Oryzias latipes: one gene and its partners. The protein of the gene in region 4 purifies or fractionates together with the protein of the main gene of each other region. This does not show direct contact. Links are inferred from orthologs where the notes say so. Each region holds a gene or a part of one and is shown on either strand. Other genes may lie near its edges.

Evidence for each region.
Region 1: the proteins of syntaxin-6 (region 4) and snap23 purify together in Homo sapiens (affinity purification with mass spectrometry; 3 studies listed by BioGRID and IntAct, with this or other methods). This does not show direct contact. The link is inferred for Oryzias latipes from reciprocal best matches to the Homo sapiens genes STX6 and SNAP23.
Region 2: the proteins of syntaxin-6 (region 4) and vamp4 purify together in Homo sapiens (co-immunoprecipitation; 5 studies listed by BioGRID and IntAct, counting the BioPlex papers as one, with this or other methods). This does not show direct contact. The link is inferred for Oryzias latipes from reciprocal best matches to the Homo sapiens genes STX6 and VAMP4.
Region 3: the proteins of syntaxin-6 (region 4) and snap29 purify together in Homo sapiens (co-immunoprecipitation; 3 studies listed by BioGRID and IntAct, counting the BioPlex papers as one, with this or other methods). This does not show direct contact. The link is inferred for Oryzias latipes from reciprocal best matches to the Homo sapiens genes STX6 and SNAP29.
Region 5: the proteins of syntaxin-6 (region 4) and vamp3 purify together in Homo sapiens (affinity purification with mass spectrometry; 5 studies listed by BioGRID and IntAct, counting the BioPlex papers as one, with this or other methods). This does not show direct contact. The link is inferred for Oryzias latipes from reciprocal best matches to the Homo sapiens genes STX6 and VAMP3.
Region 6: the proteins of syntaxin-6 (region 4) and vti1a purify together in Homo sapiens (affinity purification with mass spectrometry; 3 studies listed by BioGRID and IntAct, counting the BioPlex papers as one, with this or other methods). This does not show direct contact. The link is inferred for Oryzias latipes from reciprocal best matches to the Homo sapiens genes STX6 and VTI1A.
Region 7: the proteins of syntaxin-6 (region 4) and napa purify together in Homo sapiens (affinity purification with mass spectrometry; 3 studies listed by BioGRID and IntAct, counting the BioPlex papers as one, with this or other methods). This does not show direct contact. The link is inferred for Oryzias latipes from reciprocal best matches to the Homo sapiens genes STX6 and NAPA.

Annotation. Positions count from the first base shown.
Region 1 is NC_019880.2:4,946,926-4,951,402, forward strand, and holds the start of snap23 (synaptosomal-associated protein 23), read right to left. Parts: upstream 3,157-4,477; 5' UTR 3,028-3,156; coding exon 3,026-3,027; intron 212-3,025; coding exon 97-211; intron 1-96. UniProt on the Homo sapiens protein: Essential component of the high affinity receptor for the general membrane fusion machinery and an important regulator of transport vesicle docking and fusion.
Region 2 is NC_019862.2:3,865,037-3,869,498, reverse strand, and holds the start of vamp4 (vesicle-associated membrane protein 4), read right to left. Parts: upstream 3,018-4,462; 5' UTR 1-3,017. UniProt on the Homo sapiens protein: Involved in the pathway that functions to remove an inhibitor (probably synaptotagmin-4) of calcium-triggered exocytosis during the maturation of secretory granules.
Region 3 is NC_019867.2:6,078,774-6,083,499, reverse strand, and holds the start of snap29 (synaptosomal-associated protein 29), read right to left. Parts: upstream 3,185-4,726; 5' UTR 3,060-3,184; intron 1,363-3,059; coding exon 1,129-1,362; intron 1,020-1,128; coding exon 826-1,019; intron 1-825. Other genes in the region: phosphatidylinositol 4-kinase alpha, read left to right, coding at 3,427-3,525. UniProt on the Homo sapiens protein: SNAREs, soluble N-ethylmaleimide-sensitive factor-attachment protein receptors, are essential proteins for fusion of cellular membranes.
Region 4 is NC_019862.2:1,649,663-1,653,616, reverse strand, and holds part of syntaxin-6, read right to left. Parts: coding exon 3,867-3,954; intron 2,330-3,866; coding exon 2,270-2,329; intron 1,922-2,269; coding exon 1,793-1,921; intron 1,716-1,792; coding exon 1,609-1,715; intron 1,603-1,608; exon of another isoform or gene 1-1,602. UniProt on the Homo sapiens protein: SNARE promoting movement of transport vesicles to target membranes. Targets endosomes to the trans-Golgi network, and may therefore function in retrograde trafficking.
Region 5 is NC_019863.2:28,602,469-28,606,499, reverse strand, and holds the end of vamp3 (vesicle-associated membrane protein 3), read right to left. Parts: intron 3,461-4,031; coding exon 3,302-3,460; intron 3,113-3,301; coding exon 3,061-3,112; intron 2,757-3,060; coding exon 2,740-2,756; 3' UTR 545-2,739; downstream 1-544. UniProt on the Homo sapiens protein: SNARE involved in vesicular transport from the late endosomes to the trans-Golgi network.
Region 6 is NC_019877.2:9,985,369-9,989,946, reverse strand, and holds the start of vti1a (vesicle transport through interaction with t-SNAREs homolog 1A), read left to right. Parts: upstream 1-1,514; 5' UTR 1,515-1,618; coding exon 1,619-1,712; intron 1,713-4,578. Other genes in the region: palmitoyltransferase ZDHHC6, read right to left, coding at 80-346. UniProt on the Homo sapiens protein: V-SNARE that mediates vesicle transport pathways through interactions with t-SNAREs on the target membrane. These interactions are proposed to mediate aspects of the specificity of vesicle trafficking and to promote fusion of the lipid bilayers.
Region 7 is NC_019871.2:5,028,352-5,032,947, forward strand, and holds the start of napa (alpha-soluble NSF attachment protein), read right to left. Parts: upstream 3,067-4,596; 5' UTR 2,926-3,066; coding exon 2,828-2,925; intron 2,249-2,827; coding exon 2,169-2,248; intron 2,095-2,168; coding exon 1,978-2,094; intron 1-1,977. UniProt on the Homo sapiens protein: Required for vesicular transport between the endoplasmic reticulum and the Golgi apparatus. Together with GNA12 promotes CDH5 localization to plasma membrane.

The DNA of each region.
Region 1 (4,477 bases), on a different chromosome or scaffold from region 4:
GTCACAGGCTGCTCATTAAATACAGAAATCTGTAGCCAGAGAGAAACAGAAGAAACAGAGGGACGGAGCAGGAGCAGGAGTGTGAGGAGTCAGCACCTCATCCGTCAGCTGGTTGGCCCTCAGAGCCATCTGTTCCACACTCATGTCCTCCATGTTGCTGCTGTCTTGTTTGGGGGCTCCTCCCGTGGCACCGAGCTCAATATGCTGAGGCCTGAAAGAAGGCCAGAGGTCATCAGGTACTAATTAGTATCCCATCGATTACCATAAAGCAGACAAAGAGGACCAACTCTCAACTGCTGAGCAGGGGACTATGGGTGATGATGAAAAAAAAACAAGGTGAATGGATTGGACAAACATTTGAATTTAATGACGTTTTAATGGAAAATTTATTTGAATGACATGACTTAAAATTCAAAGCTCCAGAGAAAATAGTATAAACATTTCTGTTGAAAAACGTGTAGCTCCCAAATCCAGGCAATGTAAACAGGATGATAGTTAAATATAAAACCAAACTGTATAAAACAAATCCTCATTTAACAAATATAAAACGGCTTATAAACGCTACAGTAACAGATTCTAAACTGCTAGGTTTGTTTCCTCACATAAATAATCACAGAAAAAAGGTAACAGGATCTGAAAAGCTGTAGTGTAATACTCTATTGTATTTTAAAGGATAGTAATTATATTAAAATCTACTATTCTTATTGTTTTCTTTTAAATAAGGAGTTGACAGTTCCTTTTTAGATTTTGTGCAACAACACAAACTGAAAAGATTCAGACAAATAGAAGAGTTATCATCTATGCACCAAAACACAACTAAATGTTGAGAAAATGACTCAAAAACAAAGAGTTTGAGATAATACACGTCATCTCGTTTGTTCAGAAGTCATCTGAACCCATACGGATGGAAAAACGGGATGCAAAACCTAAACAAATGGCTTTTGTTTGTCTTCTAAGGAGTGTTAGAAACAAAACCACAATTCCCCCTGATAAAATGTGGAGATCTTAGCAACAATGTTAATGAATGCAACAATGAAGGATCCAGAAAACTGACATGAATATGAGAAACAACAGACGTTGAACTGTCATGATAAGATACAATAAACCATTTCCAAAAATGTAAAAGTCTGACATTATAAAGGGTCTTTTAATGGCATTTTGAAACCTTGGTGTGGCTAAAAATAATACATTTTACAGTCATTACAAACTAAAATGTGTTCCTGTGAATGCAGGCCAAGCGTTCAGTGTTCAGACATCTCAACTTTTGAAACAGAGCGAGCGCTGAGAAAGTAACAGGAAGCAGGAAGGGCCGATCATGCCCGCTCACTGCAGGCTGCCTGTTCTTCATCTTTGCTTTAGAATATGAACACACATGTTAAACTCAAGGAAATGCAGAAGATGGTTTTAGAAAACGGTGATGCAGCTCACAGTTGTAAACACTGTTGAACAGCCTAGAATGATTTCCACACGCGAGTGCGGTCATGGGTGTCATTTTCTTGGGGTTTTAAACAATGGTTTATAGAAAATGTGTTCAAAAAAGCCTCCTTAGAGACACATGGTTAGTAGGAGAAGAAGTTTATTGTAAACTAAAATTAAAAGGTTTATTTCAATAAATTACAGGGAAAAATAATTCCCACCTTATGGGTTTTACATTGGAGAGGTACAAAAAAAAAGCAACCAGGCCGGAGGATTTCCTATAATCTGTCTTCCTGTCCTGTTCTGTCCTGTCCTCCCATCTTCCCCTTAAAGTTGACGTTTTCCTGTTTTGCAAATAACCTTTAAACTCGCTTCGCTTCCCATCAAAATCTGCAGCCATCCACAGAAAATAAAAATCAAGATGAAAGTGTACTTGGCAATACGTTCTGCTCCTAAATGTTGACTTATGCTGTTTTTACCCAACCCGAGAGGGTATAATTCAAGAGGGCACATGTTTAGTGTAAACTTCAAACAGATTTCTGAATTTGGCTACAACAATTTACACATAACAGTTATGGGTTTAATACCTGCTGCAGAATTTTAGCTAAAAAAAAAATGATTTGCTGGTAAAGATTCAAAGGTCAAACTGTTGGGATGTTTAGAATTCTTCCCCAAATAAATATATATTCATAAATATTCAGCTTTCAGGGAACACAAAAGGGTCACAAATTAAGGTAATTATGACGAGGCATAAATATTATCACACACAAAAAAACCCATTAGATCTAATCCATGTTCCCACAAACTGATTTCATTTCCTGTTCATGAAGTAACCCAGGCATAGATTTCTGCAGAAAAGGCCACATGGGGAATAATGCAACACTGACAAACCCACTCATGTCACTTTCTTCACAGCAACAGCAGCAAATGAAATGACCAAGAAGAAAACAGGAGAAAAACGTTTCTTGTTTTTCAACCCAAACCTGTTACTCCAGATCTTCATGAGCCTCAAAGTGACGTCTTCTCTTGCTTTAAGTCATGCTTGGTTCACACTTTAACCATTTTCCCTTCATTTCAATGCCTAAATGTTGCCTCTTTTTTCAATTTAAAACCTCATTTCTACGAATAACTCAATTTTACCACAATTGCAAGGACTTGTGTTCACAATTGGGAGTTAAACTGAATTTAAAACCAATGACATCATGGTTCAGCGTCGAAACTGAGACTCTAAAGCATGAATCTTTATTTTACCCATTTGCAGATGAAAGAAGTGGCATTATTACGATTTTTGACCCAGTTAATGGTACAAATCTGGAAGTAAAACACCCCAAAATGGTTAATCATTTCCGTATTACATATTTAACAAGCAAAAGCTAGTAGTTTTGCACCTGACCACGGTTATCTCTCAAGAAGCTGAACCAGCAGGTAAAGCAGATCACCTGACAAACAGATGATGTTTGGTTAAATGGGTAATATTAACCAAACACTCCCAAACCTTAGTTTGAAGCAAGGGGAAGTCATTCAAACAACACAAAACTCCACATTTTCACACACAAGAAAACATAAGAGTGAAACAGACAGTCTAAAAAGGTCTATTAATTCGTCTTACATGGTTGGAAGGTTTGTAGTTTTTCCTTAATCCAGGAAAGCAAACTTTTTCTCCTAGCTAACGTGTTGCTAGCCTGCTAATAGGCTAGTTCCGCTTCCCTGTCAACTTTCCACCCCAACTAAGTTGATGTGAACTAAAGTGAGACGTTTGTTGATACTCAGTACTTACTTTCAGACTCCCTTCGGAAGAGATAAAAGAGTTACCAACTCCTCCTTCCTTCTGGTATGTGGACTTTTCGCTGGTCACTCCTGGATTCCTTCACAGGCCCCACAGTGAAGTGAATAACGTAACCTATGACGCCTTTGGGTCTCGTCGGAATTAACGCTTTTCTCAAATACACGTGCTTTTAGTTATCAACAATGTACGTGTTATGCCGCGAAAAGTTATTTCATAGATATTAACACAACACATTTTTTAAAATATAGCGTATTATAAATATTATCTAACATTTTTAAACGATGATTAGCATTTTTTTACCATTTTTAAAGGTTTTCTTTGGCACCGTCCCGTCTTTCATTGTAACTGTCACAATATGCTGCCTTGAATATACATTCAAGTACACACATTTTACTTAGATATGACTTTTATATCAACTTTATACCATTTTCCGGGTTGGTTTGAAATACGAGGATAAGAAATTGTTTGGAGTTCCATTTTCCTACACACCAAGATGTCATCACTACACTGAAACTTAGGTCACGTGATCAGCCCAAACTTTGCTGATTCAGTTCATGGTGATAGTAAAAAGCAAACTTTACCACATTTTACTACTCTTTTTGATATTTTGTTCCCTATAGCGGTTGTTGTAAATGTCAGCTGTTGTTTTTTTTTTTTAAATTATTAATCTCGCTTCTCTTTTGTGTTATATTTGAGTTCATTTGTGGTCAATGTGTGGTGCTTTTTGTTTTGATAACTTTTATGTAAATTTGACTCATTTTTTTATTTCATATAAGTAAATGAAAGATTTGTGAGATGAAAACAGGCCCAATGAGATCTCTCTCTCACCTAAAAAAATGAACTTTTAAAATAACATTTATGTTAATCTAGGACCATTTTATTAATCTGCTTCATGTTTTATGCAGTTTTTAGTGTTTGGACAGCATTCTTAACAGTTTAAAAAGCTTCACACACAAGCTCCTGATGTCCTGTTACAGACTCCAGAGGAAAAACATGGCACTGCTCTGTTTCCCCACATGAGTGCAGCATTTACCCTCCACCCGTACCTCCCCCTCCCATTCTGCTTTGCATAGACGCAGACAGCCAGATATATTTCATAGTGCATTTTAGAGATGGCCTGAAACCTGAACCTCTGGCTTTGAATCTTCCGTCTAATTCTCAAGTTTAATGGTTTACACCACAAAAGCATTTTCAAGGTGACTGGAAAGACAGCCACAATATCGGCTGACAGAGTCTAAAGGAAAATTGTTTTTCTATCCCAACCTCAGCTAAATA
Region 2 (4,462 bases), about 2.2 Mb from region 4:
TTAATTGTACGCTTATAAGACCTTCCAAAACTTTTGCCAAAATGGGTAACTTGGAAATTGGTCTATAGTTATTCAAATTTGTTGGGTCACCACCTTTAAGTAGAGGTAACACATAAGCGGACTTCCAAGCATGCGGAATGGTGTTTGTGGACAAAGACAAATTAAATAAATAGGTCAGTGGAAGTGCGATAGAGTCTGCTGCCGCTTTTATAAAATATGGTTCCAGATCATCAGGACCAGCAGATTTAGTAGGATCAAGGAGTTTAAGGGCTTCTGAGACTTCTGAAGTTGTGAAGAGGGAAAATGAGAAATTATGTATTAAATCTTCGTGATTCACAGGGAGGGAGTACTCAGCTGAATGTTTTATAGAATTAAATAATGATCCAGAGGAAACAAAATGCTCATTAAAACATAAAAGCATCTCTGTCTTGTCTGTTATATTACAAGTGTTTTTCATTATACTTGAAGGGAGCTCAATACCTGAATTATTTTCATTTAGGGACTTAACTATCTTCCAAAACTTTGAGGGATTATTTAAATTTTCTGTAGTATTTTTCAAAAAATGGTCAGATTTCACATTTCGAATTGCAGTAGTGCAAGCATTGCGTAGTTTTCTGAATGCCAGCCAGTCAGATGCATTATCAGAATGTCTAGCTTTTGCCCATGCTACATTCCTTTCATGTAGTTGGTTAGCCAAATCTGAGCTAAACCACGGATTATTACGACCTTTCACTTTATAGTGCCTGATAGGAGCATGTCTATCAAGGATTTTTGTAAATTCATTATGGAAATAACTCCAGGCCCTTTCAACATTATCAATTTCCATCATCGTGTGCCAGTCAAATTCATATAGTTCTTGACAAAAGGATTGTTCACAAAATTGCTTGACATTGCGTTTTATGATAATGTGTGGTTTGGTTTTGGGCATTTTTGTGTTTCTCGATGTAGCAATGATACAGTGATCACTTATATCATTTGCAAATACAGCAGCAGTTGAATACTTTGAAGGAGAATTTGTAAGAATCAAATCAATTAGCGAGGATTTCTCCGGAAATTTGGGGTTAGGTCGAGTAGGATCATTTACTAATTGAAAGAGGTTCAGGGAATCACAGTAAGATTTAAAATCATCAGAAACAGCTTGCAACCAGTTCCAGTTTAAATCTCCAATTATTACAACTTCATTGTATTTTAAGGAAGACAGCAGTTCCATTAAAGAGGGAAGAGCAGAGCCATCAGCAGAGGGCGCTCTATAGCAACCAACTAGGGTAATATGCAGAGAATTAGAGATCTCCAGATCAAGAGCTAAAAGTTCAAATTTCTTTGCCATTGATGTTTGCAGAAGAACTTTTGCATTAAGTTTAGTTTTGATATAGATGGCTATACCTCCCCCCCTTTTGGGACGATCAGCCCTAAAAACATTATAACCATTGATATGTATGTCAAAGTCAGTTATTGATTTGTTTAACCATGTTTCAGAAACAACAATTACATCTGCTTCAGTTGAAATTGCCCAAATGCGTATCATATCCATTTTAGGCAATAAACTCCTTACATTGAGATGAATGAATCCAAGACCATTACGAGATTTGAAGTCTTCAGGAGTACTAAAAGTAGGACTATCTGGTCCAGGGTTTGGTGGAATATTCCCGGAGATTAACAACAATAAGAAGATGAGGCGTCTTTGAAGTTGTGGTTTCTTACATACTGCATTTGAAGGTCCTAGAGATGGGAACGTTTTTAAGAATGCTATAGTAGAGTTTATAGTAAAATTCTTCTGAAGAACCATTACACAGCTGAGGTGCAGCAGTTCATTTGGATTGTCTGAGAGACACACAGATGCGTATGCATTATGACATTCATGAATAAAAGTTTTTGTTCCAGCATGAAATACACAACACACTGGATTCACTGGACGGGAGTCATCTGACTCCCGAAGAGCTACGGCAATGCCAAAGTCTCCGATGGAATATAAGGCCAATGTTAGCAGGAAGAATATTTCAGCCCTTGATATTATTTGCCGGGGGCTTTGAAGGAAGGTATTTAAAACTTTGGCCATGGCAGCCTTCAGTCCAGATATCTGCCAGAATCCAGTTCGGGATACACCGAGAGCCGTTTTTTTTTTTTTTTTTTTTTTTTTTGTTTTGTTTTGTTTTTTGTCAGACGTCCTCCCGTGACGTGCCACACAAACAGCAAGGAACACGGAGCTTGAAAGCTGCGGGCAAAAAGAGCGAAATTACTGCCCAAGCTTAGTTCAACTTTAAATGGGTATAGATCACACGATCCGAGGGTTGAATCAAGCACTTTCCTTCACACAAAGATAGCAAGCTCATCAACCAGCCAAGCGCTCCTGGATCTGCTTCGGATAGGGCATATCACACAGGTGCTAGGAAGGCAGGACGGCATCAGCATCTCAACTTTGGCAAAAATATATACAATAGTGCGCCAGCTTCGATAGAAGGTAAATTGGGACTTCCCTTAATTGATGAAGTATAAGGCCCGTCAAGGTTAGTCACGCCAGGAATCCAGCGACGATCACCCGGTGATAATCTTCATGATGACCGCATACAGTTCATGATCGTCGAAAAAATAAAAAATAAAAATAAAAAAAATAAAAATAAAAAATGGAGCGTTCCTTCGAATATCAGTGAACCAACCCTGGTTTTGGGTCTTAATGAATCGAGTAGGCTTTGACTCACAGAGTTTCGGAGCTAGCCTTTCTAAAAACAAGCACGGTAATTGATAAACAAAATACCATTCTCAGAAAGGCCAGAAACAACTATAAATTATAATCTAAAATAGCTTAAAAGTCGTTAAGAAAAAATAAAAATAAACTCATTCATTCACAGGACGCTAACAGACAGACAGAGTGCGTGCTGCCATCTTGGCGTCTCGACCTGTGCACCAAATAAAAATAGGACGCCCAGACATGGATAACCAGGGGGGTATTCCAGGGAGCATATTAAAACTACCCTGACTTTAATCCTGAACTCTGGCTGAAATCCGCCTGAACTTGCTTACTCTGGGTATGTTGGTTCCAAAAGACCGGATATGAGTTAGCGTAATTACGCTCGACTTGGTAACCCTGGGTTAATGCACGTGCACAGCAAGTACATAAAGACATTCTCAATGGATCACCGATTTCCGGAGTCACCATGGAAACGCGTGGTGAAAAAAAGAGAGCGCTACAATTCAGTGAGACGGAGTCTGAGATTAATGACGGCGTATGAAGATTATAAACCCATCAAAAAAGTAACACGGCTGCATCATCAAAAGAAAAAAGGAAAAAAAAGAGTTTCTGCTTGCAGAAAAATAACGGACAAAGTAAAAGCAATAGTTTCTGATCTTATTTCTATTATTCTTGTGACGCATATATATATATAACTTATCCAACTTAAATGAATTACTTATTACTTTATTCAACCTAATTTCTTACGTCTATCCAACTCAATATTTCTTTTTACAACTCAAATTTACATATTTATCTAACTAAATATCATATTACTCCAGTTTAATTAAATGTTTTTCAATCTTAATTTATTGCAATTCTTGAACTCTCCTATGTCTAAGAGGCTGCAGATTTTCTCATTTTTATAACAATAAAATGAATGAAACAAAATGGAACCACATTATGAAGTCTGTTCTCTGACTTAAATATTCCTCCACTGGGCAGTAAAGGTTCTAAATAAACTCGTGATCCTCTTCCTCCCTCTCCCTCATGGTGCTGAAAGAATTAAACATAACAGGGTAAAATAACTTGGTAAAACACATTAAAACAGCTAAACAACTAAACACATTTTGTCAAAAAACCACACTTGAACCCAAATCCGTCCAGACAGGCAAAGTGAATGGTATCCCACAATCCCTTGCGGTGCCGATCTAACAGCAGCACCAAAGTTACACCTACTTAATTGAATTAATTTGAATGAAAGTAAAATAACTGATAACTACGTGTTATTTTTAAGCTGACTTAAAAATGATTTCTCTTAACTGAAGCACATAATTAAGTTAGATCAAAGTAAAAAAGTTTATCTTTCCAACATCCATATGTGGTCTTATCACCATTTCACTGTGGAAAAAGTATTATCTGAGCTTCTTCATCCACTAAATCATCTTCAAATGGACACGCCATGCTGCTTCACCTCTCTGAAAACAAACTAACCTTCAACTAAACCTGCTCCAGACCAGGTTATGTTCAGAGCATGAGTTGCCATGGCAACTTGACATACCCTGAAACATACCTCTGTTTTTGGAACTGAAAGCTGAGGTTATCAACTTCCTTAGCCTCAAACTTACTGTGGTAGCTCACATAACCTGCTTTCTGGAACAGGGCCCTGGGCTTTCAGTAGTGCTACGTCTGAATCACTCAACACCGCATAAACTATTTTACGATGCAGAAACGAGCTTTGCGTTGCGTATTGATAATTCCTGTAGCCATGATAAATGCCTCTAAATAAACTGAATA
Region 3 (4,726 bases), on a different chromosome or scaffold from region 4:
GAAGAAGTGAAAGCACCTTCCTTAAAGAACAGACAAGATGTACAGAGTAAAAATAAAACAAGTCCACTCTGGCTTTTGAAAATGTTTTGTGCATTCTGGTGTAATGAACAAATATGGTAAGTTTTCCAAAAGCAGATTCGGTTTAATCAAATGTAGTCTTGGTAACACAGTGTACAAAATAAAATGCCCTTGAGCAAGGCTCTTAACTCCTACTCAGAGCTCCCAGGAGCAACAGTAGTTTCACTTTGCAGCTCCCAGGTGTCAATGTGAAACTGTTTCAATGTGAAACTATCAGTGTGAATAAAACATTCTAAAAAAAGTGGGCTGCCTTTCAGATAACTTTTTTTTTATTCAAAAGTTTCTTTAAAAAATTAAGAAATTGAAAAAAAATTAAATGTATTTTTAATTAGTTAACTTTACAAAACAATATTTTTTTATTCGAAATATAAAGCTTTTTTTGTAAGCATTTTTTTTCAGAATTGTCAATCTTTTCCCCCCAAAACTGATTTAAGACTTTTAAAAACAGACTAAAATTTGAGACAGAGATCACTCTCTTGTCTTGGGGGTTTTGAATATTATTCCTGTAAATGTAGGACAAGATTGAGCCTGAAAGGTGTTAGAAGTGAGTAAAAATAATCACCAAACACGTAAATGACATGTTGGATTCTCTGAAAAGGAAAGTTGTGTTTATAAGAAGCTGAAACCAATGTTAAATAAGTAAGGTAAGAATATTTAAAAAGATTCTGGATTTCAATTAATGTTAACTGTAAAATGATGACAGTCAACAAGCACTTCTAATCTAAAGAAGAAATAAGTAAAGCGTACCTTTCATTGGCCTGGTAGGTCGTTGGCTCCTCAGCTGGCGGCTTTGTCTCTGGTTTGCTCTTAAAATAATTGACAAGTCCTCCCCATACACTCTTGATGCTGTTGATATGTTTTTGGCTGGTCTTGAGGTCCTGATCCATGTTGTCCAACATCTTGTCGGTCCTCTTTAGAACCTCACCCTGACGTACCAGCTCCTATGAAGGAAGATGAACCAGGTTTCTCAAACTGCCGCTCTCTCAGAAACATTCAGAAATGATGTCTGCATTTGAATAAATCTGATTTTATATGATTAGATTTACACACTTCTGCAGTTTCCACACCCATCTTCTCTGATTCATAGATCAGGCCAAGAGAGCGGTGACTGCTGTCCACAGCAGATTGAGCTGTACGCATCACTTCCTGCTGCAGGTACCTCTGCCGCCTCTGTGCTTCAGTCAACCCATCATCGGGGTCATCATCAAAACCCCTGCTTTTAGGCTTAAAATCTTCCTCATCGTCATCATCTGCAAATGGATTGTGGGATTTAGGGTAGGCCATCTGTAAAGAAAAGTCAGTTCAGAAAATAAAAAAAGAAAAATAAATTAATCTCAGCTGCGCCTCTCATTTCACGGCATCAAAAATAGGAGATGAGTGGTAACAAGTTACATTTACATAAGGAACTAACTGTAAAAGATGAGTTTCATAACACTCTTACTCAGCTGCAGTGAGTTTCTTAATTGTTTTGTTTGTTCTAGTTAAAAAAGCACAATGACTTGGTTTTTACAACGGCAGAGAACTGCAAAAAAAAAAAAAAAATCCACCATTATAAACATAATAAGGCTTGGTTTTTGACTTTATGGCCATAACACATCAGGGGATCCTCTATCAATATTTTGAAATATTACAGACAGAATACTATGTGTAAAGCACATTAAATATAACATATTTAAAAGTCCAATTAATACTCATAATTGGACTTTGTTTATTAACTAAGTAGAGACATAATTTTATCAATTCTAAGAAGGATAACTGATATAATTATTGAATTTGGTATGCCCAATTTATGATTTTTGACAATATCAGATTTTCCAGTGTCATAAAACTTGTCAATCCAAAGCAAGTAGACCTTGCTAATTAATATCTCACTGGAAAGACAGGAAGCTATCAATAAATCTCATTGTTGCCAAAAAGATTCACCAAAGACATATTGTTCTTCCATTTGGTTAGTTTAACAATTTATTTTAGAATCTGGAAATAGTAGTATTTGCTCTTCAGTTTACCCTTTGCTTTACTACGGTAATTTCCATGAATAGTTAAAGTAATAATTAATCCGGTGCTAAGTACTCAAGCAGAATTTTTCACTAATTGTTTTACCCTACTAGTCATTCAACTATTTACTCGAGTAAATAGTTTAATGACTAATGTTTCCTTTTATTTGAGTTTTCTTTAAGTAATTTGTTATATTTAGACACAAGGTATTTCACTAGAGTAAACAGCTGTTTTTCTGTGAGAAAAAAAAAGCTTTAGGCGTATTTAAACTTTTTGAGCACATCTATGATAACTCTTATTCATCCAGGACGCTGTTCCATAGCAGAAAACGTTTGAAATTGGTCACTAAGACATAAAAAACAAAATGTTTTACATTTAAAAAGCTAAGTTTAAACCCTACTCTACTGAAACAAACGTAAACAAAAACAATAACAACAAGAAAGACAATATAATCAGCAAACTGCTAAAAATTATTGATAAAAAAAATAAAGCTTTCACAACAATAAAAAGTGGTGGGGGGGGGGGCACAAAAATGAAACAAAAACATTTGTCATTTCAGAATATGGGGGGGGGGATCGATCAACCAATTGATTGGTTAGCAATTCAGACAGTCAGACAGTATTGCGTAACAAACTTTTCGAAGAAATATTATTAAAGGCTAACTGGTCCTCATGTTGCAAGTTTTATGAACAAAAAACATACGGATGATATTTTAAAAGAATATTATCATGTTTTTTTCATTTACTTAACGGCCGAAGAACGTAAAAAAGAACGAAATGAATGATTTTTGATATAAAACTCGAGGGTGTTGTCAGGCTGCTATCACTCACACAGACCTAGCTTTTCTAGAAAGATCATAAATAAGTCAACAAATTAAAAAAAATACAATAAAAGCAGCAACAAAACAGAGTTGATGGTCATTCTCACACGACACACTACAGTTATAACGACACCGCAAAACTGTAAAGAAAACCAACTCGACAAACCTTCGATGATTTTGTGTTAATATCAGCTGACAGAAGAGAGCGACTCCTCTTCCTGTTACGTCAGATGACGTCACCGCGTCCAACGGTCAATCGTCCGCAACCAATTCGCAAACTAAAACATAAAGTGTTTTTATTCATAAAAAAAATTGAATAAATAATTGCTATTACACAATTATGTTTTTTACTCCATTTCACCCAGAATAATTTATAAATAAAATCCTTTTTTAAAAGTAAAATACGCTTTTGGGAAGTATGTCTTCTCCCGGCCGCCGTACTGCGGCTCTCCCAGCTCCCAGTTGCAACGCCCCCCCCGCCTCGAATCCTCTCCTGATTGTATTCATTGCTCTGCCTTCATGTAGGGGCGATCATGTCTGTGATAGGAGGTGGAACGAGAAGCTTTTATTTTAACACAGTTCTGTCTCTGGCTCGATCTCTCGCCGCCCAGCGTCCAGCACCGCTCGAAAAGGTACAAACGAAGGAACCCGGGTGTAAATTAGCGTTATTTGGCCAAGTTGGTAGCGACAGTCAGTTGGTGGTGAGGGTGTTGCTTCGCTTCCGCACAGGAGGCGGTGTCTTGTTTTGGTCCCAAATATGACAGGCAGGCTGATTGTTTTTGACGGATCTGTTGGGAATCGATTGCGTGGCGGCGTGACTGCGGGGTTTGTGTGAGTGGAGAAGGAGGGAAACCGAGGGCACCGGGTCCCGGTGAGGCGCCCGGTACCGCGTCAGGCGGAGCGGGGCTTTCACAGCACTGCAGTCAAACAGGTTTAAAGACTGGAAAAAGTTGATTGTGTTGACAAGGCGAAAGGACAACCTGTTGACACTGGAAGATGGAGCAAAGGAGACGAGGGGAAAAAAACGTCGAGTTTGATCATTCTAATGGATCATCACTTGGAAAATACATCATGATTATACATCACTGATTGATTCCACTTTGAACCAATTTGTTACGGTTTTAACATATGTTGGTATTTAATTTAAAAATTCGCGATTTTATTAATGTTTACTTGAAGTCACTATGTTCTTAAAATTAAATAACACTTTTTATAAATGGAAATAATTCATCTAAGTAAGTTGAAATGGAATTTATTGTCGTTTCTTGTTTAAATAGTTTATAGGTTGAATAAGGCAGATAGATGCTATTTTATCACCATAATTTTGTTGTTACACTTTCCTTTTTTTTGAGTATCAAAGATTGCAACCAAGTAAGTAACCAAGAAACATTTCAGTCGTCTTACTTACCGGTAGTCTTACCTGAGTATTGGCTTAACCAGACATATTAAATTTCCAGTTAAATTTAAACCACATTTATTCTGTATTTGTACTCTTGCTTGTGTAGTTTTTACACTTTGTTTCTAAGTTGATTTGCTTTTCTCTCAGGAACGTCACATTTAATCATCAACCTACCCACCTGTTGCACCTTATGTCTTGTGTGTTTTGTGTCAAAAGGGTGTATATTTTTCTGCATTGTCTGCAGTTTTGAGATGCAACGGTTTTTGGTGACCAATACCTTAACCATAGCCTCCTCTTGTAACCCATCTACACCCGTGCTATGAATGGAGCACAGTTTCTCAGCCGCTGCACAGTCAACCTCAAATTATTTCTGTTGTCTGCCTGATCTCCTTTGGGTTGTACTCAAACCAACTTCAGTATTGGATGAATATCTC
Region 4 (3,954 bases):
AGGTTTCCTTCTTGAGTGGCTCCATCTGAAAGATTGCCAAATGAGGCATCACTGAACACCCTCATCTTGAGGGCTGAGTCCCTGCCTAGAAGCTCAAAGTTCAGAGCCACCTCACTGGATTTCAGTTTGCACACCGTTCTATTCGTTTCATGGATTTAAAGCATCAAACAAGACTTTTGGTCGACTCTGCCTTGCAACCCAGAGAATTTGTCCAATCTTGGGCGTGAGCAGATCTTTTTCTTTTGCTGACAGAGATGAGTCTTGCTGTACTCAGCAAGCACAGCATCCAAGAGACACTAAATCTATTCACACATAACAAAATGCTCATACTGCATCCGGAAGATCCCTCTTGTATGTACACATTTGAGTATACCGCTGTTCAAAATCAATTATCTAATCCGTCACGGATACATTACTGTCTCTCGTTATCCAAACTTGAGTAGGTCCGGTCTTTGTTCTTTGAGAAACCGATCATCTAGCTTTATTAGTGACGTGTCCTGTGTCCTTGAGCAAATCCTCCTTTGATATTTCTATCGCCACGTCTCTCGCTTGCCCAGAAGAAAGCGCCAAAGGAACGGAGAGTGCTTGCTTCTTCTTTTCAAGGTCTGTAACTCGGGTCCAACTTATTTTTTCCAACTTTTGTACGGTTTTCCTTCGTCAAAGGTTTGTAGGACTCTGTAGTTGCTAATCATCCCCTGCTACCAATGTTAAACAAAATTGAAATTCACTTCGCAGCGTAACGTTTTCTTTATTCATTCCACCATCATCAACACAACAACGACCCATCCCATCCAACCGGCCCTTTCACAATAAGAACATGATGTGCAATTACCATAAAACAAGAAATTTGTTATTTAACAGTTCCTGTCTTTATAGCTTAACAACTAGAATTTGGCAAAGAAGGACCAAAACCAGATTTTGATGAGCCCTTTTTCCACAACGGCATCGTGAGAGGGGCAAAATTGTAATTATTTTTCCCTTATTTGATTGTGGCAACAATTTAACTTTGTGGCTCCTTCTAACATCTGCTGTGTAATACACATATAGTACCGAAGTTGACCTGTTTATATGCTGTTGAAGTGAGCTTCTGTTACAGCTGTTATCTGGTAAGTCTTGAAGCTCTCAGCAACACATTGAGTCCTTCATTTCTAAATGAACCGAATCATGCTACCTTTTACCTGAACCAGGTGTGTTTATTCAATCAGAATGTGGAAGCACCTGACTGAGTTAACCAAGCAGGGATTAGAGATGTAGAAAACTGGGTTTTCTAGACGGGGTGGTAGGACGACCAGGAGTGAGCAGCACTGATCAAGACCCCTAGACTGTGACTGAACTCCTTCACTGCTCTCTACACAGTGCACTTTCTGTAGTGCTGGGCAAATCTACTATTCCAAAATCTGGAAGACTTCAATGCATTGCATTTGAACGACTTGTTATTTTTAATTAAAAAAAGTATTTACATTTATTTTTTTATAATTAATCCACAATTTCACCATCACAACACAGCAGATTCATAAACGGTCAGCCATTATCAGGTGTTGACGTTGGCAAATGGGTGATGTCATATTTGGCATTAATGTGTTTAAAGGGTCAGCTTGTGGTTCTTACTCAGCCTGTTCGTCCAGCTCCACGCCGATTCTTTCAGACATGTTCTTGAGAACGTTGATGGACCCAGACACCAGTTCCAGCTGTTCGTCCTGCTGCTCTGCGATCAGCTGAAACACACACACCAGCGTTTGGTCTGGGCTCAGCATCACCTCCATGCCCCCATCTGTTCTCGGTCCGTCTGTACCTGCTGCTGCACCTGTGCCTCCTCAATGAACTGACTGTTGGCGCTCTGCAGCTGATGGTCAAGACGGCGGTATTTGTCTGAACCGGGCTGCCATATGCGTCCTTGAGCTCCACGCTCACCGAGCAAAGCCTGAACACAAAAGAAAAGCATACAGTGGAGCAACAGAAGTGTTCAATCAGCCATTAAATGTGTGGGTTCAGAGGCCTGTAATTGCCTTCAAATGTAAACTTCAACTATGAGAGACAAAACAGGGGAGAGATATCAGGGATAAAGTCTGTAGTGAGGAGTTTTACTGCCTTCAAGCATCTGTGCTTATTGTAAAAAATAGATCCCCCACTTTGTGGATGACAACTATAGCAGGGGATTGTAACTCGCGCTATAAACGAGGGAGCGCTGTACTGGAGTTTAGGACAAAGTTTCATGATGTCATCCTCTGTCAAAGGTAGCATTTGTCTAACCAGGAGAGAGACTTGGTACCTGTTTGCTCTTCCCGTCCAAGGAAGCCGTTCCTGGAGACGACATCTGCTCCTTCATCTCCTAGAAAAGAAACGGCAGACTATGTCACGAAGTGAAGACGTCACATACATGGATTTATGGTTCATTACAGAAAACTTGGTCATGGCGTCTCACTCTTATAACAACAGCGATGAACCAGAACTAAAAAAATGTATTTTATGAAAAAAAAGTTGGATATAATTATATGGCACTCTGTGTAAACAGGTTTTTAAATTTTGATCAGAAATAAGAAGTTCTCTTTGTCCTCTCATGTCACTTAAGAATATCTTATAGTAAAGCTTGGATTCAAAGTGATGAAAGTTTTTGTTTGAAGTTTAAAAACCCTCAAAACTATTGACTGTTTAGGAGAACAGGAGTGAGAAGTGTGTCGTCATCTACAGAAAATGGGTTACTTCCTTCTGTTGACGTTTTTTCCCCAACACAAACGCCACCATGTTGGAACAGTATGCAGTGATTGGTCTGAGTCATCGTTTCTATGGTAACCACTCACACCAAACACTTAAACGTGAGCTACAGAAAATCTGTCAAACGTTCAACCTGGGGGCCAGCAGGCTCCTCCTACTTTTATTGAGGCATCTGATTGGTCCGTTTGTAACTTGAATAAGTTTAAATACAAAATACTAAATTTGGATTATCAAGAAGATGTTAAAAAAGGTATCAGATCCAGAATGGTTCTTCTGGCCAATAGGATGACTGAATAACAGCTGTTTAGTTCTCTATAGGCTCTATGGGACTTCCTGAAACCAGCGGGTACTTCCTGTTTGGAGCGCCAGGGGGGAGGAGTCCAAGACAACTGATCCGTGTTAAGAAAATAACTAATGGGGCATGTATGGTTAGATTTCTGATGTAAACTGTGCTATAGCACCCCCCCCCCCCCTCGTAAATCTGAAGCACTCCTGAAAAAGCTGCAGTTCCCCAGAACTAAATCAGCTTTCAGTTAAATATAGTGTTAAAATAAGACGTTAAAAATATATATTTACCGTCTTGTCTGAAAGATCTTTTGTGCTTTATTTTTTGTAAAATCACTGAAGTTGATTTTATGAAGGCCTTCCTTTCTGTATTGTTTTTTGTTTTTAGATGGACTCAACAAAACTCCCTCTTTACTCTGTCAGGCCCACCATTCAGACAGCTGTAACATGTTGTTTTGTTTAGAATAAGTATTCCTTGTTAGGGAATCGTGACACGTGACATTATCCCACTGATGTCTTTGCTGCTATTAAAAAACAAACCAAACCTTTCCAGACCAAATGTGTTCCTGTGGAGGGGATGCTTTCTAAAGGATAATCATTCATTATGTGTGCAAACAGCTGAACAGTAAAGATCATCTTTTTAGTTTAGGGGTCTGTTATGCTGCCCAGCGTCAGGCCACCATTCTCTCCAGATGTGATGAGTTCTACTTTTAAAATCTTTGAGGGCTGTACTTGGAGGAGCCATTGGTCTTCAACTATTTCAATGAACTACCAGACTGACCAAACCGAAGGGAACCAGACCACCGTGCTGCAGACGTTTGGGGTTCCTCCCAAAGCGAGTTCACATCTGAGGTGTGGCGGAGGCTTACCCTGACCATATGTCTGGTGCTGGTGATGAAGGCCTTCCTCTTTGACAGCTCCGCTGCATCCAGATTAAACTTCTTTGGGTTTGACTCT
Region 5 (4,031 bases), on a different chromosome or scaffold from region 4:
AGTTTGGCATCGCGTTAACTCCGCCCAGTCTACGCTAATTGGGCAGGCCAAACTTACATCTGGCGCCTGATTGGATGGAGACAGTTGTAGTGGGCGTGCTTATCCCCATAGTTGTTGGCGGTTCACGTGGATCCCCATGTTACACAACAGGGTGAAAACATGTCAACTGCGCAGGCACCAACCCCTATGAGTCTACATCCACGCCCCTGCAAATGCATAATTATGAACGGAGCCGCTGCTTTGACTCTAATAAAGGATCGATCGATTAAAAGATTTAAATATAAAAAACAAAATAAAATGGAAGATTCCTGACATTGCACACAGAAAAAGATTTAAATTAAGTTGTGTTGCATTTCATAACTAAAAAAAAATGAGTTTGTAAGAGTTATCTTCTCTGCAGGGACCAAAATCAAACTTTAGCCATCTTCTGGAAGTGAGGAGACATTTCTTTATTGTTAGACTCCAAACAAAAAAGGAGGGAAAAATATATATATATTAGAAAAGATTAAGAATTTCCATCTCCCAAAGAGAAATAACATGAAAATAATTTAGAAATGACTTTATTAGTTTTTATTCAAACGGATAATTTAGGCCACAGAAGAAAATTGCACTTTTTTTCCAAACATATTCCCAGTAGAGTATACATTGGCGAAGCTCATGAGTTAAATGTAAATTAATTGTAAGAGGGAAACAGCAGATTAAAAATAGGAAAGCATGTAAGTGGTTAAAAAAAGGCATATAAGAAATGAAATGAAATAAGCATTTCATTGGTCTAAAGGTTTTATTTAAGGCAGCAGTTTATCTATATTTGATAGAAACAAGGAAAAAGAAAGAGCAAATCAAACTGAAGATGAAAAAACTAGATGCTCTAAAAATATGCATCAAAACATTAACATTTCAAAATGAACAAAACCACAAATCCAGTGTTGGTGTAAGAATGAATACCTGAACAGGGGTAGAATGTCAAAAAGGCACGGTATCAGTAATTATCTCTGTTGGGAAGACTTTCAGACTGGTCTGAGTTAAATCAGACCTTGAAAACCTTTTTTTTTTTAGTATTTTAAAATATGGATGTTCTTGTTGTTCTCAACGCACCATCAACACGAGACAGTGTTACAAATCTTTGAAAAATGTATAGTTGCCCATTAAGTCTGTATGAACGCTGAACCGAAGGCTTCTCATAAGTGCAGTGCCAATGAGGCGTTTCCAATATTTGTAAGCCCACCTGCCCAGTTGGTCTATTTGTCTTACAGACCGTCCTCTAAAAAAGCATTACAGCACCGAGTCGCCCTGAACTGAGCTGCATCGTGCAAGTCCAGGTTCATGGTTTAAGTCTGGGTTTGCCTTTATATTTTTACTTTTAATTTACTTTTGCTACACCTCAGTAACTTTGAATTTAGTACATTCGTTATGAACTTTTTATGCAGGTTTCATTTTTTATTTAATTTATAATGTCCTTGGTAAAGATAATATTTATATATAAAGAAAATACATATTAGTAGCAACATCAAAGTCCCCACCAAGAAATAAAATAGGTGTCATATTCATTGAGTTATTGAAAAATGAAAGCAATTTAATAACAAAATGTAATATTACAAATATTTTTTCCAAAAACCAGGTTCACTTGAGTTAATGAATGCAAGGCTTAAGCACATTTAGAAAGGCACTGTTGTTTTTTAAATGGCAGCAGTTGGAATATGGCTGTATTTTTGGCAGTTCTTCTTCATTGAGAAAAAGAATATTATTTTAAAAGCTACATTCTAATACTGTTATGCCTCGATATTTCACACACAAAAAAGTGTTGGATACAATCTAGAAAATGGATAATACGTTATGTGGACTGTTGTTATTTTGAGGCTGCCCGAGTCGGGCTGTTTGGTCTCGGCATGCAGGCACTCGTTAAAAAACAAGTTCAAACCAGCTGCACAGCAAAGGGAGTGGTGTCCAAAATAAGCTGAAGAAAGACAGGAGTGACCACAAGGTTAGTTAGCATCCTATTGAAGAAGATTTAAGGTTAAATTTCTTTTTTAAAAGAATTTTCTTACAAAGAAATGAACTGTGTGGAAAAATGAAGCGACGCATTAGATTTAGCTATTCACTTCTGAACTGTAACCATTGCCAAAGATGGCGATATCTAGAAAATAAAAGGGAAGCCCTGCCGTTAAACGTCTTTAAACTGGTAAGAAAATTAGCTCTAAACCCTACCAGAACATCTTTGTAGGCATGTTACTTTTTTAGCCTTCCAAATGTTATACAATGCTATTAATAAAATGTGAAAATGTAAATATATACCGAGTTAAATTTACAACAATAACCTTCATACCAGTCTTGAAGTTCAAATCTATGTGTGTGCATGCTTGCCATAGAGTAAGGGTTTTTATTTCTTATAGACTTTAGAAGAGTTTTACTTCTTAACAAATTTTTTGTAACTTTTCTGGCAGTTTGTTTTGGAATGTGGTATAGTTTTTTTTTTATTTTAAAATGTTCTGATGTCATCCATGGTGCATTCTTTTAAAGGTGTGGAACTTTGGCAAACCTCAACTCTGGCACAACCTTAATACACGTACATAAATTCAAAACAAAGCAGGACAAGGAATGAAGACCCCTGCAGATAATTCGTGTGGAGGTCAGCAGCCACCAATGTGAGATATTCTTTGTGATTTATGTGGCATGATGTTCACACACTGCCCCATTTCTCTGCTCTTCATCATGGCCTCCACGTCTCATCCGCTGGCTGTTTTACGTGCTAGACCAAACTACAAAGAAAAGGATAGAAAAGTTAAGACAATGCATTTACTGGGCATGTCCTTCTAAAATTATAGCCATTTAGAGCAACAAAGAATTATAAATATTTAAAACATTGAATATTATGGCTTGTAAAAGAAAGATTGTCACAAAAAGTCAGTACAAATTATTTTTTGTATTCAAACATAGTTGTTAAGTTGTAAAAAAGGATCGAGTACAACCTAAAAATATGCTGATTTGACAGATTCTTTAAATCAGCTGACATAAAAATACTAACAATTCTGACTTTTTTTTTCCCGATGTCTTGATACTCACTAATGATGATGACGATGATGATGACTATGACAGCTATCAGGATGGCCCACATCTGCAGGCAGAGAATCGAGCGCCACAAAAATTAAACACATTTAGGCAAACAGATCATTTGTCAAACAAATTCGGTTAATCTGTATTATTATTGCTGCTTCGATAAAAAAAAAAAAAAAAAAAAAAAAAATCAACAACTGGTGGTTTGTTGAATCTGTGAAGTACAGTTTGGGGCAAAACTGAGAGTTACCTTGCAGTTCTTCCACCAGTATTTCCTCTTTAGCTTAGCAGCACTGGTCTCAAACTGGGAAGCTCCAGCTTGCAGTGCATCTGCTCGGTCATCCAGTTCCGACAGTTTCTGATCACGTTCCAGCACTTTGTCCACATTAACACGCATGATATCCACCACCTATGAAGAACAGACAACAAATAAAAAGCAAAAAAGAACAGTTTGATGTGCTTTTACTTTGGATGTTATGCAAGAAAAAATGTATTTGAATTGTCAACTACAAAAGATTTTGAACGAAAAAAAGATTTTTGTTTGTTTGATTCTAACTTTCTAACCTGATGATACAACAGGAAAAGCAAAACATTCGTATTACGATGGCAGAGTCACAACGTGTTTACAAGTTAGGTTAGAATAAGATGGAGACAAAACACTAGTAATCAATTTCTAATTTAAAAAAAAAACTGACCTTATATTAATAATAAAAAATAATCTGACAAACATTCATGTCCTTACTGTGTTCTATATGAATATGACCTATATGTTTCATTGATTTACAAAGCCAACTGCCCCAGCCCACTGCAGCAGAGAACAGGAGACGCATGCATGCAGGCCTTACATAACCATGAAGGTGGTGATTACATAAATATCTGGCAGCTAGTTGACACTACGCTGCAAACTCAAGTTAAGGTTTTTGAAGGCTTGGTAAATCTTAAAGGGCCCATGCGAAGCACTAAAGAGTGCCAGGTCGTTT
Region 6 (4,578 bases), on a different chromosome or scaffold from region 4:
TTCGAATGGTTTCATTGTTTTTAGTATCAATATACTGTGAACTCAAACAGTCATCAGTGAAAAGAAGCAAAACTCTTACTGGTTTCCAGCCAAGAGGAATATATCCAGGCCCAACAAACATGGCGTTGAAGTAGTTGTAAAGGATAAGAACAGTCCAGTTTAAGAGCATGAGGAAGTTAATGCTGCCTGCAGTGGTGTCTAGAGGCCAGTACCAGATGACTGAGTCTATGATTGCCATGGTTGAACATATAGCAATGACAGAGAGGGCTATGATTGGGCCCCAGTGGCACAATCTTCGAACCTCATGGAGGTTCTCGAATCGAACTAACGCTGAAAGGAAATTCATATTCGTCCCACTGGAAGCTTAAGAAAATGTTCTTTTTTTTTTTTTTTTGTTGGGGACCTGAAATGTTTGGACTCTGCCTGAGTGTGCTACTTGTTTCTTATATCTTGCAAAGTCAGCAGTGCACACATTTTTATTTTCATCTTTCAAGAATCCAACTACATCCCTGGTCTGTGGTCACCCGGCCTTTCCGTGTCCCGGTGTGTCTTGCCCTTGAAGAGCGCAGCATGCTCCCCTCTCAAATCCTGAAGCACAGGAACCTTGTGAGAGTCCGTTTACCCATCTGATGGAGAGAAAGAGAGAAAAAAAGGGGACAAGCATTTATCATAGAGTGCTAAAAGAAAAGGCTATATTTCCTCTTTATATATGCAAAATAGGTGCTATTTATCTGGAAAACAGGTAGTTGTGGGTCACATATTGACTCCTATCTTTATATAGAAATCTATATATTCTAAAGAACGACATAACTATAATGAAAACACTTTTAATGGTCAAATTAATTACGTTTTATTGTTTTTTAAAAACAGAGATATTGGAAGGGTGAAGCTTTGAATGAAAGAAGAAGAAACTCCATGCACAACTAATTAGCTTGTCAAGTCAAGCTTAGCTAGCAAATTCAAAACAACATTTTAAGCTAATTCCAACAAGTTTCTCTATGTATCAGGAATTCATACATTCATACTAACATCTTGCAAAATTGTAATTAGCTTGGCTGTTTAGATAAACATGTTTCGGCTTAAGAGTAGATGCATGCAGCAGGTAGCGAAGAAGTGAGGTTGGTTAGTTAGCTAGCTCGTTCACCATCTTCCACTACCAGCACTGACAGGAAAACCATTTCAAACTCGAAAAAAGAAAGATGAATCAAACATGACACACGAACGTAAAGCTACGTAGAAATAAACACATTGAATAGTGTTTCAGTAAATAAGCTGTCACTTTAAATTAGTTTAACCTTACCACTTGCACTTCGGATTTTTGTTTTCCTCCCCTATGTGCCCTGAGAACCTTCCTAGTTGCGTCTCGGATTGAAAATCCGTCAACTACAAACAGTCAGATCAAATTTAAAACAAAATGAAAAAATATATGTTTTGTTAAATAACACAACAAAGAGATAGGCGTGATAGTTTTCCGAAACCCTCTCTCAGTAGTAGCGCCAACAGAACACCCAGTTCCTAGCCGGACACCTTTTAGTGTGACTCAAGGAAGAAGCTTGTTATTATTTTGAGCTAACTGTCAGCCCTAGAGCTACTTTGCTACCTAAACGTACTGGTCAAAATGTCTTCAGACTTTGAATCCTACGAGCAGGACTTTGGAACGACTACAGCCGAGTTAACAAATAAAATCGGCAGAATTCCCAAACTAAGTGGAGGTAAGACTTTTACCATTTTAGCGTCAATTAATGATGAGCTGGCAGGCTAGCTAGTAGTAGCAAGAAAGCCTCAGTTCTAGTAGAAGGTGTAGCTTTAATTGTTAACTCTAACTTGTTTGAAATCGTTATAAATATATTATGTTGATACATTTACACGTTTATATTCGCCGTGTGACTCAGTTACTGTGCTCTTTCTGTAGGAACAAAAACAAGTGACCGACTACCTGTGGTTATAATAAATTAATGGTAGAGGCCAGTGTCAAATAGAAACATTATGTCAAATTTATATTATAGATTTTAAGATTATAATTTAAAACCAAAGTTGTTCTTTAGCTTTAAGCAACTGGTTTTAAAGTATTAAAATATTTAAGAAAAATACTTCTAGATTCTACAGATGGCAAGAAACTCCTAACCCATCATAGCTGCTGCCTGTTTTCTGTCAACTTACATAATAGTATTAGAACTGTGATAATCTCTATTCTCTTTTACTATTCTAACATCTTAAACACTTTTAAAATTTAACATCATCAATAATTGTGTACTTAAGCTTCATTTAATTGACTAGAAACATATGTACTTTCCTATTTAAAGTACTCAGTTTAATTTATATCCCAGGGTATTTACTCCACTAATTTGAGAATGGGTTTCAACACTACTAAAAATGTCACTAACATAACAAGAGAGCATATGTGTTCAAATGAAAACAAAAGATCCAAAGTGGAACGTGCATTTTAATAATATTTAGTGGTCTACTACCATCAAATAGTCACCATTTTAGACTTTTACATCCAATGTTTGAAAGCACTTCTATCAATTCTTCTTAAGCCTCTATTTCTTATTTATGCATTTAGTTTTTCTTTCCCAACTATTGCTTAACTTCTGTTAACTTACTGTAGTAAATGAAAACCTTTTCACGATAATTTTGAGGATTTAACTGCAAACCAATACCCTTAGCAAATCAAGTTGTTGTGATATGTCATAAGGTTTTTAATCCCAGTGGGATATGATGCAAAAAGACAATGATTATATTGTACACATGCCTCAGTTAGTTCACATAAAACAATCAAACCATATAGTGTTGGAAGTCTGAACCTAATCATATTATTTACTTAAAAAATATGAACTGCACTGTCATGGTAAGCAATAAAAGAGACACTGTACATATTTATCTCACTTTAAACACTTCTTTGTCACATATGTCCCTGCATATCCATGAAGATGAAGACATTTCTACAGCATATTTTAAATTAGTTGCACATCTTTATTATGTCAAAGCACGAGGAGGACATGTGTTGGTCACAATTTGTGTTTCACAGTAAGACCATATTGTATTTGTCACTTTATTTATGGCACTTTGCTTTGTTTGTATAAGAAAGCATTACTACGGCAGTTATATGGATCACCTCACTGAAACACTTATATTGCAGCCTATACGGAATAATATGCAGTTCATATTGTAACTGTCACAAAATAGTGTGAGCAGATTTCAGATAAGTAGCATATAGTATATTATAAGAATGATTAAGTATGAATGAAGAGTGAATGAATAATGGACAAATTGTTAGCGCTTTGAGCACCAAGAAAAAGCACAGATAAATCTAATGAATTATTATTATTATTATAAAAGACATGAATGAATACAAATTTAAGTCTTTAATTGTAAAAAATCTAACAGAACTAAAAAAAAAACTTAAAAAAATTCACCTGAACATGTGAAACAATGTACTGCTGGTTAAATGCGTAATAGCAATAGACCGGTCAGTTTATTTATATGGCGTCTTACTATGACCGTATAAAACAAGGAGCTATTCATTGAAACTCAACACATTAAAACAACAGTTTAAATGATAACACAATTTAAAAGTTAAATAGTAAAATATTTATAATATTGGAAAATAAAAACACAGTCAAAATAAAACACACCAACAGAGCAGCGTCTAATGGGCAAAAGCCTGGCAATAAAAGTTTTCAGAAGCTTTTTATAAATAGACTGTGAGGACGCTTAGCGAGGCATTCCTCACCTTTGGTGCACAGACTGAAAAAGCCCATTCCTCCTTTAACTTTCTCTTGAACTTTTGTACTCTAATCAGAACCCAGTCAGCTGCCATGAGGCACTGACTGGCATGAAGGGAGAGACAGGCTCAAAGAGGCACGGTTAATTAAAAAAAATTAAATGAAACGGAAGAATCTTAAAGTTAACGTCCAAAATGCACTGGCAGCCAGTGAAGGAAAGCTCCAATTGGGGCGACGTGGTCCCTCTTTAGTGTTCTGGACCACTTAAAGAAGCGGAAGGGACAAGAGGCTGACTCTGAAAGTTACAGTAATCCATTTTAGTTTCTGATGAAAGCATGGATTACTGTCTGAAAGTGTAGTCTTGATAAACAGCGTCACCTTCACCAGCTACCTTAAAGAAAAGAAGCTATACAAAGCGAATTTAGCTATCACGTTTAAAATCACTGTCCGTTTCTGACCTAGATTTGTCCCAGACTTTTAAATGTGAATCAGGAGAATCAGATCTACTGTGGAGGGGTCACACGACTCACTTTAAACTGTCTAAAACAAACTAGGACATAGTTAATTATTTGTTTTTCTAGAAAATCCTATAATTGATAATGACACAGATGTTCTGGTTTGGATGTGATATCTTTGAAGAGTCATGCGTATTTTGAAGAGTATTTGTATGCCTGCCGGGAACTCACTACTGGAGGTTTGGCATTGCCAGAAGCAACCTTTTGCCGGTCACCCACCACAAAAACATATGCTGCCTTTCTACAGACATGTTGGCTTCATGATGTTTAACGTGTCAAATCCAGCAGAGATTTGAAACAAACTTTTTGTATGAAGTTTGGGTTTTCTGGCAGTTTGT
Region 7 (4,596 bases), on a different chromosome or scaffold from region 4:
TTGTTTTTTTTGTTTTAGGAAAGGCGTGAAGGCCCACGTTCTCCAATGTTTGCATATTCAAAGCAACCTGTCATATATTCGAGGAAGCAAGTTCTGTATCACATCAAAGCCATTTCTATATATATATTTTTTTTTTTTGCAGGTGTAAAACCTAGAAATGTCAAGTTTTTGATAAACACTTGACAGCAACCCAAGGACCTGAGGTTGATCTAGTTAATGTGTAGACGAAAAATAGATGTCTATTTTTATTTATTTAATAGGGACAGTGCACATTAATGAACATCTATCAAACAATGATAGGCGTAAACATGCTGGATTATAGCAATGATGCTAATTTGCATCCATAGTCCCTAGGCAGGAAACATAAAACAGGACAAAACAAAAGACAGAGTCACAGATCCAATAAGAACACAAAAGGGTGGCACATTATGAGAGTTAAAAGTCAGTGGCTACAGGACTGGAGGATAAGGATGTAAATGGGCATAGCATGTAAACGACACCAAACGTGAAAGGATGCATCTGCAACGCTGATGGAAACGTTTACATTCTTTTCCTGGAGCGATGATGAAGGTGGAATGTGTGAGTTGACCTGTAGCATGACAACAAGTCCAATCATGTCACCAGCAAAATAAAGAACTACTGACTGAACCAGATGGTTAGTTAGCCATCAAACTCCTAACAATTGTAAAGTCAGGACTTCACACACCGAACGTTAAATTTCATGGGAAAGAATATAGAAGGAAATTAATAAAAAATATGAATTCCTTAATTCTTACTTCCAGTAGGAAAAAGAGCCGTGAAAATACATCATATTTCATCAAAAAAATAATTCTTTAGTGTGCCAAAGGTAATATATGATCACATATATGGATAAAGTTTACTCTGAAAGGCGTAACAATAGCATGATATATAGGCCCTACAACTCACATCTGCCTGCAGCTCAACTCCTCCATCCTCCATGGGAGTTTTAGCCCCCCCCCCAGCAACAACAGGTACCTGTTATTGCTAAATAAGATTCCCACAGTATTCCTCTAAGCCCGTCAGACAAATTATATCAGGTTGATGCAGGAAAGGAGGAGACAGTGGAAATGGAGGTAGTTGTGCATTAAAAAAAACCCAGAGGAACCAATCATTTTCCAGTAATATCCCTACAACTGTTTTGGTTTTGGCTACAGATATTTATGATCTTTCATATTCCTAACTACTCAGTGTTTTATCAGGGCCTGTTCGGATGAACACAGATCTAATATCATGGAGATTTACATATCAGTAAAAATTAATTTTCCACAGTACACATGACCATCTCTCATGGCACATTTGCTTCATTAAAGTCCTCCATGATCAGAAGAATGTCAGAATAACATGTTAAAAAACATTAAAAACACCCGTTTCATCTGATCTGCTCTTAAATGGGGGATGCCCAATATATCCAATTAAAACCAGACTGTATATTACACAATTTAAAATGAAATATTGCATCCCCGCAGCATATATTTGCATATATTTATAGTGAAAGTGTCAAACACATGTGATCTGCTATTTTTAATTTATTGACATTGTTTTATAACATTTCACCAGGCTTAGAATAAGCTAAATCAAGGCTTTTTCTTTCATTTCTTATTAGCAAACTTAAAAAAAATGTTTCTCTATGTTTTTTGTAGTTGTTTTTGCAATGCACACACCAAATATCGAACCAAAACAAAACCGTGACCCAAAAATGGAGGTTTGAATCAAATAGGGAAGAAAACGAACAGTTGCATCCCTAAAAGGCAATGCGTGTCCACATACATTTATGTGGATATTTATTTGATTTGCAACACATTTGATGAATGAAAACCTTTTTGTTCTTGAAAAAATTATTTTAAAAAAATAAATGAAGCAAGCTCTTTATAAAGCAGTGTAATTTCTCACAACAACAGAACAGGTTTTGAGAGTTAAAAAATAAATATATAAACCCACAGAAATGAAGAACATTACCTTGGGGGTCTGCTTTTTTGAAGGCATTTCCAGCGTCTATGAGGTTAGTTGCTGCATCGTGTTTACTCTGCATCTGCAGGTGAAGATGAGCAGCCTGCGCGAAAGCATTTCCTGCAGCTGGAAAGAAATGTTGCAAGATTAAGGTGTTTACAGATAACAGCGGGGAGAAGGGGGGCTTGTTACACACTTACCAGACCAGTTTTTAGCCATTTTGTACATGTTGGCTGCTCTCACATAGATTTCGCAGGCCTCTTCCGACCTGGAGGAACCCCTGTGAGATAACATACACGCGCATTTAAAAAAAGACAAATTGGAAGTTAAAACCGTGTTGCATAAATATGCAATATATCTCTGCAGACTAAGTGTAAATACCACCTTAAATCTTATAGAAAACACAAATGTGCGGCTGTAAACCAATGACTGACATGTGATCTGCAGTACACCTTTATTCCGGAAGGTGGTGCTGCAGCATCGGCACAAGTACACTTTGAACTTGAGACAAAAACAATATTTCCGTTTAATTTAAAGTTAATACATAAACACAACAATCTTTAAGTATAGTCATTAACAGAGCGGGTATAGGCAATTGCTGTGAATGACAATAATGCTGTTTACAAACATTCGAGGCAGAAAACCCGGGAATGGTGGCGTAACAACATCACAGACACAACAGCATCATTTAAACCCAAAACTAAAATTAAATGAAAGATTCACCACTCAGAGTTAAAGGTATTCTTTAGTTCCGCTATACAAACGGAGTGATAACTGCTTAGTCAGACACCTTCCGCATTGTTGGCCCCTAGACTAGAAAAGCTAGCTAACACTTACGCTAGCTTTCTGACAAACTTACCCAAACAGCGTCCCAAAAAACGACTTCGACGATTTTATTTTTTTGTCCGCCTCCGCCATCAAAGCTTCCGCTTCCTTTTCTTTCCCACTGTTGTCCATTTTCGTGCCTTGTCCCTTAAATCTGTGGACAAATACCTAAATGTAAAAGTCAACAAACTTGCTAACTGCTGCTAGCTGCGTCGTCACATCACCAGTTACAGACCAGCAGTTCCCCTGTCACGTGACACGGGAGAACGGAAACTCCTGCTGCATTCAGGAACTCTTTGTAAATAAGACTTTTCTGTGTCACTTAATACTATTTCCCCCAACCTTGAGTAATATTTTAAGAAACATACCAATTACAATCTGTTCTTACGGGATGAAAAACTTTATGTTTTTGTTTGTTGCACACCTTCATTTACCAAAATTAAATAATTAACATGACTAAATGAAAAGACCCTTAAAAAATAAAAAATCTAAAATGCTAAGTAACAAATAACTCCTACTTTTACTATGTATTTCCTAAATGTCGGGTCTTGGATTGTGCAATAGTGTTACTTGCAAAACAGCAGTTTCACAATTTTCATATCTTTACCATTTGCGTCTTGCTTTTAACGTGATGGGAAAAAAAACATTTTACACAGCTTCTTGAGATAATATTGGGGTTTTTAATGGGTCAACTTAAAATTCTGATTTAAAAATATGTACCCAACAGAAAACCCCCTTATGTAGAACTGCAAAGTAAAATGTTGTTCTGCATCTAAAAAAACAACAGAAATGTCCCCCAAAACTTTTGTAAATTTCTAAAACTTTCTCTGACGGTTAGAAAATGGTTTACTTTGGACATGTTTAGTTCGTGCATCAGTGACAGAGTGGAGTCAGTTTGCAACAATTTTTTTTAAATTTATTTGACATGTAGTAAGGGAAAAACTATTTTTTTATTTCTTTATTCGTACTTTTTTTAAATATATATTCTTGGTCTGTTTTTCAATCCCTTTTATAAACGTTTGTTTCCTTTATTGTTATTTTTTATTTCTACAACACTTCATGTTGGGTCACAGGGTTTTAGCCTTGAGTCTTTTTCAGGGTGTCATCCCTAAAGAGGGATCCTTTGTCCCACTGCATTTCAGGGACACCATGACACAATGGTGCCTTTGGACTATGAAAGAACACAAACCAAATATGGAAGAATTAACATCTCAGTCAGATTTGCAGACAGCACTTTCTTGATTGTTTTATTGACTTTTAATGTGGGATAAAATTGTTATCCAGTTGGTTTGTAGATTACAAATTTGACTTGATCTCTTGACTTGTTATCATCACTGGCTTAAGAGGGCTAAAAAGTCTGCTATCAAAGTGAGAAGGCCTGAGTTCGAATCCTGGCCAGGTTTTTTCTATGCAGAGTTTCCTTAATTTAGCTTGTTTTGTTTTTCCTGGTACTCTCCTGGTATTGCATCCTATAATATGCCTCTAAATTGTCCCAAGATGTGATTGGGAGTGTTTGTGTAAATGTATCTTTGTTTGGCGCTGCAATGGACTGGCGACCCGCCCATCGGTTGACTGACAGTCACTGGAAAGGCTCCGTTGACCATGTGACCTCAAAAGAGATGAGACAGGTTTACACGATGGGCGGATGAGGAGAATCAGCAAGTCTTACTTTTGTAAATTTGTTTACTAACCAAAGATTACATTAAGCTTTGGTAAACCTGGACTCTATATCCCCCTTTAAATCCCAACTCAAAACTCTCCAATTAAAAAAAACCCACATCAATAGTACCTTCTGTCTTGAAA